Linked DNA regions of Saccharomyces cerevisiae S288C. Changing the gene in region 2 together with the main gene of any one other region gives a genetic interaction. Each region holds a gene or a part of one and is shown on either strand. Other genes may lie near its edges.

Region 1 (5,953 bases), on a different chromosome or scaffold from region 2:
CGCAGTAGTTGCCACTCAAAAGATTAAGAAGGATGAAACATTGTTTAAAATACCTCGTAGTTCTGTTTTAAGCGTTACAACATCTCAACTGATAAAGGATTATCCTTCTCTCAAGGATAAGTTCCTGAACGAAACCGGATCGTGGGAAGGTTTAATTATCTGTATACTTTATGAGATGGAAGTTTTGCAAGAAAGAAGCCGATGGGCGCCTTACTTTAAAGTTTGGAACAAACCAAGCGATATGAACGCGTTAATTTTTTGGGATGATAATGAACTGCAACTTTTAAAACCATCACTTGTCCTTGAAAGAATAGGAAAAAAGGAAGCCAAAGAGATGCATGAAAGAATTATTAAATCAATCAAACAAATTGGTGGAGAATTTTCACGTGTAGCGACGTCCTTCGAGTTTGATAATTTTGCCTATATTGCAAGCATTATATTGAGTTACTCCTTTGATTTGGAAATGCAAGATAGTAGTGTAAATGAAAATGAAGAAGAAGAAACCAGTGAAGAAGAACTTGAAAATGAGCGCTACTTGAAATCGATGATTCCACTTGCTGATATGTTGAATGCAGATACCAGTAAATGCAACGCTAATTTAACTTACGACTCTAACTGTTTAAAGATGGTTGCTTTGAGGGATATTGAAAAGAATGAACAAGTGTACAACATATACGGAGAACATCCAAATTCGGAACTACTAAGAAGATATGGGTATGTTGAATGGGACGGTTCGAAGTATGATTTTGGAGAAGTGTTACTTGAAAATATTGTCGAGGCGTTAAAAGAGACTTTTGAGACGAATACTGAATTTTTGGACAGGTGTATTGATATCTTACGCAATAACGCCAATATTCAAGAATTCTTAGAAGGTGAAGAAATAGTACTAGATTCATATGATTGTTATAATAATGGTGAATTGTTGCCTCAACTAATACTTTTGGTCCAAATCTTGACAATTCTTTGCCAAATTCCAGGTTTATGCAAACTGGACATAAAAGCAATGGAAAGGCAAGTGGAGAGAATTGTAAAGAAGTGTTTACAATTGATAGAAGGTGCCCGCGCCACTACAAACTGTAGTGCCACATGGAAACGTTGTATTATGAAGCGTCTAGCCGATTACCCCATAAAAAAGTGCGTTTCTATCGAAAAACCTTCGAAAGGAAACTCATTAACAAGGGAAGAACTAAGAGATGTTATGGCTCGGAGAGTTTTGAAAAGCGAAATAGATTCGCTGCAAGTTTGTGAAGAAACCATCGACAAGAATTACAAGGTTATTCCTGATGAAAAGCTGCTAACTAATATTTTAAAGAGAAAGTTGACAGAGGAAGAAAAAAGCTCTGTCAAACGTCCTTGCGTGAAGAAGTGAGCGGTTGTTCTAACCACTATTTAAAGCCGCAATTAGTAATGCAAAAAGTTGGCCGGAATTAGCCGCGCAAGTTGGTGGGGTCCCTTAATCCGAAAAAGGACGGCTTTAACAAATATAAACTCCGAAAATCCCCACAGTGACAGAATTGGAGAAACAACCAGTTTTGATATCGCCATACATATAAAGAGATGTAGAAAGCATTCTTCACTGTAATGTCCAAATCGTACATTTGAATTTCTTGTAGGTTTATTTAAAAGGTAAGTTAAATAAATATAATAGTACTTACAAATAAATTTGGAACCCTAGAAGATGTCGAAATTGGGACAAGAAAAAAATGAAGTAAATTACTCTGATGTAAGAGAGGATAGAGTTGTGACAAACTCCACTGGTAATCCAATCAATGAACCATTTGTCACCCAACGTATTGGGGAACATGGCCCTTTGCTTTTGCAAGATTATAACTTAATTGATTCTTTGGCTCATTTCAACAGGGAAAATATTCCTCAAAGGAATCCACATGCTCATGGTTCTGGTGCCTTCGGCTATTTTGAAGTAACCGATGACATTACTGATATCTGCGGGTCTGCTATGTTTAGTAAAATTGGGAAAAGAACGAAATGTCTAACAAGATTTTCGACTGTGGGTGGTGATAAAGGTAGTGCCGACACGGTTCGTGATCCAAGGGGGTTTGCCACCAAATTCTACACTGAAGAAGGTAATTTAGATTGGGTCTACAATAATACACCGGTATTCTTTATCAGAGACCCTTCCAAGTTCCCTCACTTTATCCACACACAGAAGAGAAACCCACAAACCAACCTAAGGGATGCTGACATGTTTTGGGATTTCCTCACCACTCCTGAAAATCAGGTGGCCATTCATCAAGTAATGATCCTTTTTTCAGACCGTGGTACCCCTGCCAACTACCGTAGTATGCATGGTTATTCTGGTCATACCTATAAATGGTCCAATAAAAACGGAGATTGGCATTATGTGCAAGTTCATATCAAAACCGATCAAGGAATAAAGAATTTGACCATAGAAGAGGCTACCAAAATTGCGGGATCCAATCCAGATTACTGCCAGCAGGATTTATTTGAGGCTATTCAGAATGGAAACTATCCTTCCTGGACAGTTTATATTCAAACAATGACCGAACGCGATGCCAAAAAATTACCATTTTCAGTCTTTGATTTGACTAAAGTATGGCCTCAGGGGCAATTCCCTTTACGGCGTGTGGGTAAGATTGTTTTGAACGAGAATCCACTGAACTTCTTCGCACAGGTGGAACAAGCTGCCTTCGCCCCCAGTACCACGGTTCCTTACCAAGAAGCAAGCGCTGATCCAGTATTACAGGCCCGTTTGTTTTCATATGCGGATGCTCATAGATACAGGCTAGGTCCTAACTTCCATCAAATACCCGTAAACTGTCCATATGCATCTAAATTTTTCAATCCCGCTATCAGAGATGGACCGATGAATGTTAACGGCAACTTCGGCTCAGAACCTACATATTTGGCCAACGATAAATCGTACACGTATATCCAACAGGACAGACCCATTCAACAACACCAAGAGGTATGGAATGGGCCAGCTATCCCTTATCATTGGGCAACATCCCCAGGTGATGTAGATTTCGTGCAAGCAAGAAATCTCTACCGCGTTTTGGGTAAACAACCTGGACAGCAAAAGAACTTGGCATATAACATCGGCATTCATGTAGAAGGCGCCTGTCCTCAAATACAGCAGCGCGTTTATGATATGTTTGCTCGTGTTGATAAGGGACTATCTGAGGCAATTAAAAAAGTAGCTGAGGCAAAACATGCTTCTGAGCTTTCGAGTAACTCCAAATTTTGAAACGCTCAAGTAACAAATGAGTGGCGTTGTTTCCACGACAATTATTTATGATAGTGTGTATTTTTAACACATTTTATTTATTACAATTTATGTATTTTGTTATGAATTATTTATTTATACGACTAATAGGTGATGCTCATATTCTCGTGTTAGAAAGTTAAAAAAATTATCATTTCACACATAGGAAAGCTCGTCGCGCCGGGGAAAAAGCTGAGGAATCTCTATTATTAGGGGTAAAGTTCAACACATTCAGTATGAGATAAGTGTGTCTTCAAGAGAGATGCAGCACTGAGTAGGGAACCAAGAAACGATGTCTGAATTACTAGATAGCTTTGAGACAGAGTTTGCGAAATTTTATACCGACAGCAATCTGGAAGAGACAAACCTTCAAAAATGTCTTGATCATACTCATGAATTCAAGAGTCAATTAAAGAAGTTGAAAGCGCACTTAAACAAGCATATTCAGGAATCAAAACCAGAAGTCTATAATAAGCTGAGTGATAAGGAGAAACAAAAGTTTAAGAGAAAAAGAGAACTAATTATTGAGAAGCTAAGCAAGTCACAGAGGCAATGGGACCATTCAGTAAAGAAACAAATAAAGTACGTTTCTCAGCAGTCGAATCGCTTCAACAAAAGCACGCTGAACAAATTAAAAGAATTTGATATAGATAGCGTATATGTCAATAAATTACCGAAAGAGACAATGGAAAATGTTAATGAAGCCATCGGTTACCATATTTTGAGGTATAGTATAGACAACATGCCATTAGGAAATAAAAATGAGGCTTTCCAGTATCTAAAAGATGTCTACGGAATTACTAATAAAGAATCTACTGAATTTATTGAGATGGGCCAAATCGTACATGATCTTAAAAAGGGTGACACAGAAAGCTGTCTGAAATGGTGCTCCAATGAAATGGAAAGCTTATCATCTAACCATACGGCTTTATCGTCCCTAAAATTTGATTTATACACTTTGTCAGCAATGCAGATAGTGAAGCATGGAAATCCGGTAGAGTTGTACTACCAAATAACACAGAACGCACCCCTGGATTGCTTTAGACATAGGGAGAAGGAATTAATGCAAAACGTCGTACCATTATTAACTAAATCGCTAATAGGTCAACCTATTGAAGATATTGATTCTAAAGTAAATAAGGAATTAAAAGAATGCACGTCGTTATTTATAAAAGAATATTGTGCTGCAAAACATATTTTCTTTGACTCTCCCTTGTTTTTGATAGTATTGAGTGGTTTAATTTCTTTCCAATTTTTCATCAAATACAAAACCATCAGGGAGTTAGCGCACGTTGACTGGACTACGAAAGATGAGTTGCCATTTGATGTCAAGTTACCAGATTTTCTGACTCATTTCCATCCGATCTTCATCTGTCCCGTCTTAAAGGAGGAAACCACTACAGAAAATCCTCCTTATTCACTGGCATGCCATCACATCATTTCTAAAAAGGCGCTAGACAGATTATCGAAGAACGGAACAATTACTTTCAAGTGCCCATACTGCCCCGTAAATACTTCAATGAGCAGTACAAAAAAGGTTCGTTTTGTTATGCTTTGACTGAAATTTTTGCATAGGTTTTTTTTTTTTTTTTTTATTGGAAGCGATAACAGAACACAGTAGTTTTCTACAGTAAACCACCTTTAGCAACCTGCTCTCGCTGAAAATCTCCATTCATTATCGTTCCTGAGAACGATCCATTTTCTCCAGCCAACCACCCAGGAACTTTATCAATATTTATTAAATTTTTATCGCATAGTTCGTGTAATCCCCCAAAAATATCATTACCATTAAATTTCAATTTTATGGTAATTATTCTACTGTTTATTTCGTTTTTTAAAGTGAATCCAACTTTTTCAATAGGAACTAAGGAACTGTATCTAGAAATGTACACTGGCTCACCAGAATCTTCATTTTTCTTTCCATTCCTAATATTGTGGACATGTTCGTTAAATTCTTTCAAATCATTATATTTCTGATCCATTACGCCGTTTGCTGAACCTTTGAATTTGATCATGTTTTTCTCTAACCTTAGTCGTCTAATTTCAGGTTCTTCTTTTCCGTAAAAATTCTCATCGTCATTTAAGAAAGAATCATCAAATTCTCTAACCATTACCTTTTTACCAGTAAGGCCTTGGTGCTTTTTGTAGTCGTGTAGTGGTGACCGTTCAAAGTTAGCACTAGCATAACATTCCCATGGGCCCATAGACTCCGCAAATCTCGAAGGTCCTAATAAAGTCATTATATTATGTATTGATTTCACGGGTATTTTCTGTACCGGTTTGAAGATGATTGTTTCTCTTTCTGATATCGTTCGACTAATGCTCTGCAAAACTAGTCTAGCATAAATATCCTTGTCAACTGAATGGAAAATTATTGGAGAATTTAGCGGGAATGCAACGTAATATGGTCTCCTTGATATTAATGGTTTCCCTTGGAATTTGTCTAACTTGTTGTAAAGAGACTCTTTATTTATACTCCCTATATTAGGCGTACTCAAAAATAAATTATTGCTGTCAAATAGCTGTATTCTGGTAATTAACACTGGCAAAGAGGGATGTTTAAACATGTAAACATGACAATGGTAAATTTTCGCTAGATCTGTTTGTAAATTTTCTATAAATTTGGCAGGTTGGAGCTTTACTACGTAAGGTTTCCCATCTCCCCGTAAAGCTTTTGATGGAAGCCACTTAAATTTCTCTGGTTTACTT
Region 2 (9,364 bases):
AAAGAAAGAAGGAAAAATATTTTACGTCGGAAATTGTGTGATATGCCGTTTGAATTCGAGGTATATTAAGCGCAGTGCTTTTCCCTGCATCGCATTCTGTCTGTTCTTCCGAGTGTCGATTCCCACAATTCGTCTTGTCCTTTTGATATTTTGTTTTTTTTTTCCTTCTCTTTTTTTATTCTTTGTATTTGGTGCTGTCTGTCAATACGGCACATAAAGTAACATGTAATTAACTATAACATGTCTTCGAACGATTCGAACGATACCGACAAGCAACATACACGTCTGGATCCTACCGGTGTGGACGACGCCTACATCCCTCCGGAGCAGCCGGAAACAAAGCACCATCGCTTTAAAATCTCTAGGGACACCCTGAGAGACCACTTTATCGCTGCGGTCGGTGAGTTCTGCGGCACATTCATGTTTTTATGGTGCGCTTACGTTATCTGCAATGTCGCTAACCATGATGTCGCACTCGTTGCAGCGCCTGACGGTTCCCATCCGGGTCAATTGATTATGATTGCCATCGGTTTCGGATTTTCCGTCATGTTTTCTATCTGGTGTTTTGCCGGTGTCTCTGGTGGGGCTTTGAATCCTGCTATGTCGCTTTCGCTGTGCTTGGCGAGAGCCGTCTCTCCTACAAGATGTGTCGTTATGTGGGTTTCGCAGATTGTTGCTGGAATGGCCGCTGGAGGCGCTGCAAGCGCCATGACACCTGGTGAAGTCCTCTTTGCCAATTCTTTGGGCCTGGGCTGCTCTAGGACGAGGGGTCTGTTCCTGGAGATGTTCGGCACCGCTATCCTATGTTTAACAGTCTTAATGACGGCTGTGGAGAAGCGTGAAACCAACTTTATGGCTGCGCTGCCCATCGGCATCTCCCTGTTTATCGCACACGTCGCTTTGACTGCATACACAGGCACAGGTGTCAACCCTGCGAGGTCCTTGGGTGCTGCTGTCGCAGCCAGATACTTCCCTCATTACCACTGGATTTATTGGATTGGCACGCTGTTAGGATCCATTTTAGCATGGTCTGTATGGCAATTATTGCAAATCTTAGACTACACAACCTACGTTACCGCTGAAAAGGCTGCCAGCACCAAGGAAAAAGCTCAAAAAAAAGGTGAAACCAGCAGTTCCTCTGCTGTGGCTGAAGTCTAATTTTTCCCTCCTTTTCTTTATTTCTCGCTCACTAGCACTTAATGTTATAATACTCGGCAAAAACTAGTAAGATTAATTGTTTTTAATTTTTTTTTTTCTATACATCCATACTACTGAGGTAATTAGTGTTTTTAATATCCCTTCCTCTTGTATAATATTTTTGGGGCTTTATAGCCGACCTTGACGTATAGCAGCTGAGCTCTATGGTTTGACTCATCCGTACACCAATACACGCTTGGTGTGCCCAGTTTATCAGCTTCGTCGTAGACAAATTGGATTAGTTTGCCGCCCGCGCCTTTGACCCTAGAATTCTCATCAACATAGAGATCGTTGATGTATATCTTGTCCTTGAAATCCCAAGTAGTCATATGGTTGAAAAAGTTTATCATTCCAATAATTTTTTCGCTCGAACTTTCCACAGCTACGGCTGCCCACATTTTAATGTTAGGATCTAGGAATCTGCCGAAATTGAAATCGTCCAAGTCATCGGGAAAAGAGACTTCATAAAAATCTTGATAGGATTTCCAAAGCCTTTGCCAACCCTCCTTATCGTTTTCGGTTACAAACCTTACGGTAATGTTATCTTCGCTAGTGTTGGACATGCTACACAGAAAGGGCTGTTTGCTTTCTTGGCATATAAAATACTAAGAGCAATACTTAGCCCTTTTTGCTCTATTTATAGCGTTCCCTCTCTTAATGATTGCCGCTCCCCTAATATAATTGGTAGTTCTTGCCACCCGTTAGTTCCGTCCATAAAAATGTTCAACCAATAAAAGCAAATCAAGAAGTGACTGAGAAGTACAATGAACTATGACGTTAAAAGGCTAACCCAATGCAGAAATTAAATAGAAATAAATACATTGTGTAGTCGGCCTGTAACTTGTATTTCGCAAACGTCTTATAAAGGCAAGAAAATTTCAAATGTTCGAAATCTGACATCAGCCGCATGCTATGTTGTCAATCTCTCTCAATACTCGGCTGGCTTAACCCTGAATCATCCCAAAAAACGGTGATACTGTATTTGAATATGCTTCAACCGGAGTAATTATCCAGTAGTGCAACGCATCTCATTCCAACTTGAAATATACGTTTACAAAACTATTTACCACTTGTATTTCTGCAATAATACCAAAATTCATGCAAAATAAACACCATCATTACTTGTAGTTGGAAGCAAAAAATATTCTTGATTGATTTTCAATTGCCAGGCTCCTTATCACTTCGTCGATGAGCCAAAAAAAAATGTAGTTCCTATTCTGGTATCAAAGCATTTTTCTTTATTGATAACATCCGCATACACAGAGAAAAGGCGAGAAGCATGAAAAGTGTCAAAAATATTGAACTAGAGTGTACTGTTATAGTTTTGGCAGGTATGAAGACAAAATGATGGCTTTTTACATATCAAAGTAACTCTGTACTATAGATAGAAGAATAAAAACTAAATACATGCAGGTGACTGATAGAAAAGACAAGTGCAGGGGAGAAAAAAAAATAAAGAAATGATAGCGTTCTAAGAAAAGTTCTAGTCATGGATAGTGTCCTGGAGCATAGCCGAAATAGCCATTTGCTGTATCAGTTATGTTCTTTAGAGGATAGCCAACGCCATCGGCACCAGCATACGGAACTGTATTGCCCCACCAATTAAAAGCTGTGTCTTTATATTGGACAGCAAAGAAAATGATAATAGCTGATAAAACCAAGCCCGTTGAAAAGCCTGCCGATAAAACATAATTATATTTCTCCCACAGATTTAAATGGTGTCTTTTCATGTAGTACTGGGAAATGTAACTAACAATCATACCAGAAGTGTAATACATCAGGTTATATGGAGGGCTCATATTAAGCATTCCACCTACAAATAACATTGGGTCAAAATATCTGGGATAAAACTTACCCCAGCGCTTCCAAACACCAAAAAATATGCCAATGCATGCGCCTATCAACCAACACCATTTAAATATTGGATAAATGTAATTGAAAATTCTTTTTGGCCCAATTGCACCCCAGACAACGGAAGCATTATAGTAGGTCACAGCATCAGGACAGGTGAATTTTGCGTTTTGATGAGGTGTGCAAAAGTCTTTGATATTGGAGATTTGCCAATTCAGAACACCTAGATTGACAAATATCTGAATGAAAACTATAACACATTGTCCCCTGAATAGCGCCATTGGCGGAATCTTACAATAATGCGCTATTTTTAAGTTAGAAACGTAATTATCTGCTTGGCCGTCGATGTTATAACCAAAAGCCTTCAAAATCATTATGGCGATTGGATTACCTGGTAAAGCGTACCCCATCACCATTTCAATTAGTAGATTCAAACCAAACGAATAACCAGTGGTTGCTTGAAGGATAGTAGTTGGAATCAAGAAAACAAAATTAAATCCTAAACAAACAAAAAGACCCCAAACTGGTGTATTTGTTGGGTAGTGCTCTACAACAGCTATTCCAACAACAAGTGAACCTATCAATATGGCAAAATACCACCAATCTGGAACTTCTTTATAGTTTTTCATGGCATTAGAATGTGGGTCATCATAATCGTCGAGCGCCCTGTAATCGCTTTTGAACATTGTGACCCAAGATTTAAGTTTTCTCATGGCCCACAAATTCAAAGCCCAATCTTTGAAAGCATTGAACAATAACTTTGAGTGTACAATAAACGACCATGTAATCATCAGAGGATATGCGCAAATGAAAGCACCATATGATACCAAATTTCCAGCACTATAGTATGGTGGCGAGTAGCTTTGATATTTTTTCACATCTAGCTTATTGTCACTGTCTAATACCTCAGTAACTTTAAAGGAATGGCCAGTATTAGTATACAAAGAATTTGTGAATATTGGCAGGTATTGGCAACTCATATAATTACTATAGTATACTGCAATAACAATTAAAGCTGCTAATATGCAACCAAGATATTGTGTTAAGTATGACCAAAATGGGTAAACTAAAGGAGAATTAAACGAAATAACATTCCAGTCAAAAGATGAGATAGGATTAATCCCAAGACCAGTGACTCCTCCCGTGATGTTTGCGAGATTAATGTTACTTGGCTTGATCCAGGTCATCCAATTGAAAGTGTTTAGAATATTAATAATGTAAGTGGGAAACCAGTTATAGATGAACATGATAAAAAAAGTCAAGAAAAAGAATTTATACCTGCTCATTCCAGATTCATGCTTTTCTTTACCCAATAGTGCCTTGTTGATAGCAATAGTTGGCATGACTGTTGGCCATAGTGCACGGGCTGGATAAACAACGAATTTTCTAAGGATGCCAGCAAATCCAAATCCAATAAATTGTACGGATAACGAAAGTAAAAATTGGTAGCCAAACGAGAAAGCAGAATGGTAAAAGAGTTTTTGCGTTAGAATATTGTAATGAGTATAGAACGCGCCTTGACAAATTGCATATAACAAGGTTGAAAACATTTGCTCTTTTTGGGTCCATGGTTTATCGATATTGATACCATACTTTCTGCCCCTGATGGTTATAGTCCAACAGGGGATAGTTTTAGCCCAAGCCTTACCACAGATATATAAAAACATTTGGATAATTGGAGTATTCAGTGAAATTGAAACCACCCTGTGTGAAAAAAACTCATTAAATCCTGAACCGATGACAGACCAAATTATTGCCAGAAAATATGCTCGGAATGTCTCCACTGGAATGGTGGGATCATCTTCTGGATCAACAACAGCTCTAACCTCTTGGTAAGGCGAATGAAATTTAATAGCAGAAGCAAATGCTCTAATGTCAAAGCTATCATATTCATCTATCCCCTCTTTTGAATCCAAGTCCTCCAAGTCAACCAATCTCTTCCACTCCTCATATTGATCGTGTGGAATGTTCTCATCATCCTTGAAATAGATGATAGAGTCTTTTAGTATTTTGAAGGAATCCTCAAGTGTCAATTCAGGCATTTTTTTGAGGATATACGCAACGTCTTCCGGAATATCATAAAGAGTGCGATTTTCATAACCCAGCTTCTTCATAAAGTGCAGTATCTGTTCATCCGTATACCACTGAGAAAAGTCTGATGAATGATTTGAAAGCCTCTCAGAATACTCAGCACCCTCGGCGTAATCAACAGTACCTTTTGTGGATACCTTCTCATCAATTATAACTTTATCTTTGACTGTTTCACTCATAATTTCTAATAATTCAACAGCAATATTGCGTATAACAAACCCTACTAGTTGTAGAATAAGCTAATATGTTCGTTTCTGCTATTAAAAAAATGCCGCCGTTGTTTAGACGTTCAATGTATGATTGTAAGTGTTTCAAATATTATTTTTTGGGATGTTTCGATAGGAATGAATATAAGTAACAACTGACTTGAGACATGACTTAAGTTTACACAGGATAGTGTTCCATTCCCATTTATAAATTTTTTTGAAGCGAGAAGAAACCTAGCAAGTTGATATCAATATTTTTTTTAATGTTACTTATCTTCATTGCTAATAATTCGTGAAATGATTGAAAATTTCCAATCCATGAACATTCAGAAGTAAGATAACAGCGTCCAATTGTAAAAGAACGCTATTATTATTGTAGATAAGAGAATAAACTTAAATAATCGAAGGTGTTACGAATCTTCATAAAACCCAATGGGCTGATATTGACAACCGCAATGGCGATTCACGTGTTCGGTAACCACAACAGGGGCCAAGAGGAAAACAAACTACATCAATTTTTGCAAAAGGTTAACAACGAAATGTGGGATTATTGAAAATTATAACGAAGAAACTACGTCGGACAGCAACCCCCCGATTTTTGTCGGTTGCTTTTACTGACACCATGATGTGAACCAAATTTTCTTTTGGTATTCCTCGCATAGTGTTGACTTCTTTTACCATGATAAAAATAATGAGATAAGAAGTGTTGCAGTAATATTATGTGTCACACCAGCGTGGCTGCCATATTTGAGACGGATTCGTCCGGTGGATGTGATGGATCCGTTTAATGCTGATCTCTCCTGCATTTTTTGTGAAAAATCAGATATCAATTATTGGTCTATCTGCTTTTGCCTGTTTGTTTTTTTTTCATTATAGAGTTCCTCAGTGAGTGGGATTGATGATGCGCACGGCACAATTGAAGCATTTGCTTATCAAAACATAAATATCTCCGTACCCAAATAGGAAAAACGCGTTAATGCAAAGTTGACACGTTCAGTTACTATTTCCTGAAATAATAATACAGCCCACAAAAACCCACCAATGACGCTTTTGTTGCTGAATCAGACGTTAAGTGCTGCTGCCTCCTCTGTTCTGCGCCGCCGGTTGTCTCATTACCTTTTCTGCCTATGATGATTGTATTGCAAGGCCCGAGTGGTTGCGTATGCCACGTACGAAAAGTTGTTACCGTGCCGTCACATCCCCTGCAAAGAATGTGGTACGGCACACTCCTGCTAGCTTGAGGCCCTATTCCAATGGCAATTGAGATGCTGCTTTCTCCTCTTACAATGTATGTTGATGCTTCCACTAAAAGAGGGATGAGAGAATTCATTTGACTGTGCAGTCAAATCTGTGATCTTTCTATTCTTGCTTATCTATATTCTGCCCTATTTATTTTTAGTAAAGTTTCGTATTTACATTTTTCATCATAGATCGCACCAGCGCGTGGGGCTCTTTCATTATCATCTCAACTAAATGACATACATTGCAAATACGTGAAATGAGCTGACTCAAAAAGAAATATTCTGAACTGTGAATACCAAACAAACTTAAAATAGCTGAAATTCACGTGTTGAATTACCGCATCGGTTAAGGAAAGGGAAAGTTTCTTCTCTAAATAAGGAGGAGCCTTTGCACATATGTAGATTATGTAAATACTATACTCTTTTTTTGCTTTTAGTACTTGGTATCCTACTAAATCTTTATTTTCTTTCGTTAGTGAAAAATATGAATTGAAGGATCAGTTCCTTCAAAAAGGTAAGAAAAGAAATGGACCATTCGATTAATGCTGGCACCAACATTCCACAGCACGGAATACAATTTTTGGTGTCCTTTACTTCAAGATTTGTTACTACGTGCGGCTTAGAATAACTTCATTATTTATCTAAACGACCCATAATTTTCGATGCTAAAGTCTAAAGTTGAGCAGGTAAGTTTATTAAAAACGTCTTTTTCATTACTGCTCTAGCGGGTAAAAGTCAATGACAGCAGACGCGGCAAGTTGTGACGCCTCATCGGATCCAAGAAACATTTATTTTTGCGTGCACGAGTAATCTAGCGAAACAATTTCCAAAAAATAAGTGAAAGAATATCTACTAATGCTTAGGATTACCAAATTCAAAAATAACCCTTTTAAAGTATAAACTTTGCATTTCAGAGATTCTCTGGCATGGCAAATATTACGAATAAGGAAAGCAAGGTAAGATATATTAGAAGGACCAAATTGTTAAAGAGACATCTAACAGGTGAGTTTGAAAAGTAATATATGGAAAGGATGGTAATACAGATTTAGCGCAAATAATAGTTGTATTATCAAATGAAATGTGAACTTTTTTATATGAAAGTCCATAGGGTAGACTACTGTCGCCATAATTTCGTAGAAGAAGAGAAATTCATGATAGGCGTCAGCATTATTACAGGCGCGGGTCTTAAATTTATGGAACTATAATTGTTGTAATTAAGATGAGGCCAAGATTAGGTGGGTAATATGTTTCATGCTTTTTACTACTACTGCAAGATTTTTTTTTCCACAAAGTTTATTTGTTGGCATTTCTAGTTACGAAACTCTCGTTGCTAACATCATGTTAGTCTGACAAGTTACATATTCGTTTCGACGTCGCCATTCTACGCACTTAGGCCAAATAACACATCTCTTTTACATTTGAAATTGCTACCATTTATTCCTGTTCGATCTTAAGATTGACTAAACCATAATCCGAGCCTAATATTCACGTTTAGGCGGGGGGTACTAAATCACAAAAAACAAGTGGCGAGCGAAGACCTTTTCAATTCTAATAACTCAGTTACACCCTCAACTTGTAATCAATGTACAAAACACAGTAAAATCGAAGATAAGAGATGTAAAACCATAGAGACAATTTGAAAACCTATAAACACACGTTTTATACTTTATCGTTATTACGAAAAATCAATTTTTGCTCGACCAAAAGCAGCCTTCGGACTGATATATCTAGGTCCGTTAGTTTAGTAGCTGTTGAGGTCATTGTAACCTCATGTACACCCTTAGGATCTTGAAGTTGCTGCTCTTTACTTCAGAGCATCTCTCATTTCGATGACTTCGCATTTTTTTGAATACTGCCTTCCCACTCCCATCTTTTACAGCTTCCTAACGATACTACGATACTACGATGCTACATATTACAGAGATACAAAATAATAACTCTTATAAGAAAGAAAAATAATATGTATTGTACAAATTACACTATTAACGAACAAGAAATGGGCTCTAGTGGAAGAGTTAAATCACAGAGAAGGGGTTAAATATCTCTTTGAGTAAAAAGTTTAAAGAGCAAAGATTATTTGTTTTGTAAGAACCATTGCAGATAACTTTTCCTGTTTCTTACCTCCGAACAAATCCATGTCGCCCATATCACCAAACTTTGAACCATGACCATGTTGGAGGTACGCAATTATCTGTATCATTATAGATCAATTTAGTGCTCGGAAGTCAAGTGCACAATGAAAGTCATGCAAAAAGTTTGTGGCTTAGCATCTCGTGAGGATATGGAAGACTATATGGAAGGCTGCTCTGTTTAGTCACATGATTCTTTCCCAACTCTTTCGCCAGCTTGCGTGTTCTTTTTTACTCTAGCAAAAAAATCGAGCCGGAGTTAATGACCGGAAATACACGGATTTCATATTAAAGTTTTTTGAGCAACACGTAAGGTAAAAGTCACAATCATGTTCACCTAAGTGATATCGTACGATAGTTGCGTATCTGTGCTAATACTCGCCGAAACGTAATCCTTTAAAAGTACCTTCGTATCATTGCATCATTAGAGACGCCTAATAGGAATGTTATAGGTGTATCCAAATCTCACCTTGAATGTGCTTGGCATAAGTATACAACTGTAGCATAAAGAACCCTCGTTTTACTTTCTCCGGCTTATGCAAAGTATAAGTTAATCCCTGCCTAGTTTTTTTCTCACCGTTTTTCGTAGTTTAAATCTGCAATGCAGATTTAAAGTTTTTCTTTTCTCTAGCAGCACTCGTGGAAGTAA

Evidence for each region.
Region 1: of OPT2 (region 2) and CTA1, changing one enhances a phenotype caused by changing the other (phenotypic enhancement), as found in Saccharomyces cerevisiae (one study listed by BioGRID).

What each region holds. Positions count from the first base shown.
Region 1 is NC_001136.10:965,406-971,358, reverse strand, and holds CTA1 (catalase A), read left to right. Parts: upstream 1-1,678; coding exon 1,679-3,226; downstream 3,227-5,953. Other genes in the region: RKM4 (ribosomal lysine N-methyltransferase), read left to right, coding at 1-1,369; ubiquitin-protein ligase RMD5, read left to right, coding at 3,537-4,802; CHL4 (Chl4p), read right to left, coding at 4,870-5,953. UniProt on the Saccharomyces cerevisiae protein: Catalyzes the degradation of hydrogen peroxide (H(2)O(2)) generated by peroxisomal oxidases to water and oxygen, thereby protecting cells from the toxic effects of hydrogen peroxide.
Region 2 is NC_001148.4:921,620-930,983, forward strand, and holds OPT2 (Opt2p), read right to left. Parts: upstream 5,319-9,364; coding exon 2,685-5,318; downstream 1-2,684. Other genes in the region: AQY1 (Aqy1p), read left to right, coding at 241-1,158; HPA2 (histone acetyltransferase), read right to left, coding at 1,290-1,760; YPR195C (uncharacterized protein), read right to left, coding at 6,346-6,675. UniProt on the Saccharomyces cerevisiae protein: Transports tetra- and pentapeptides. Does not transport glutathione.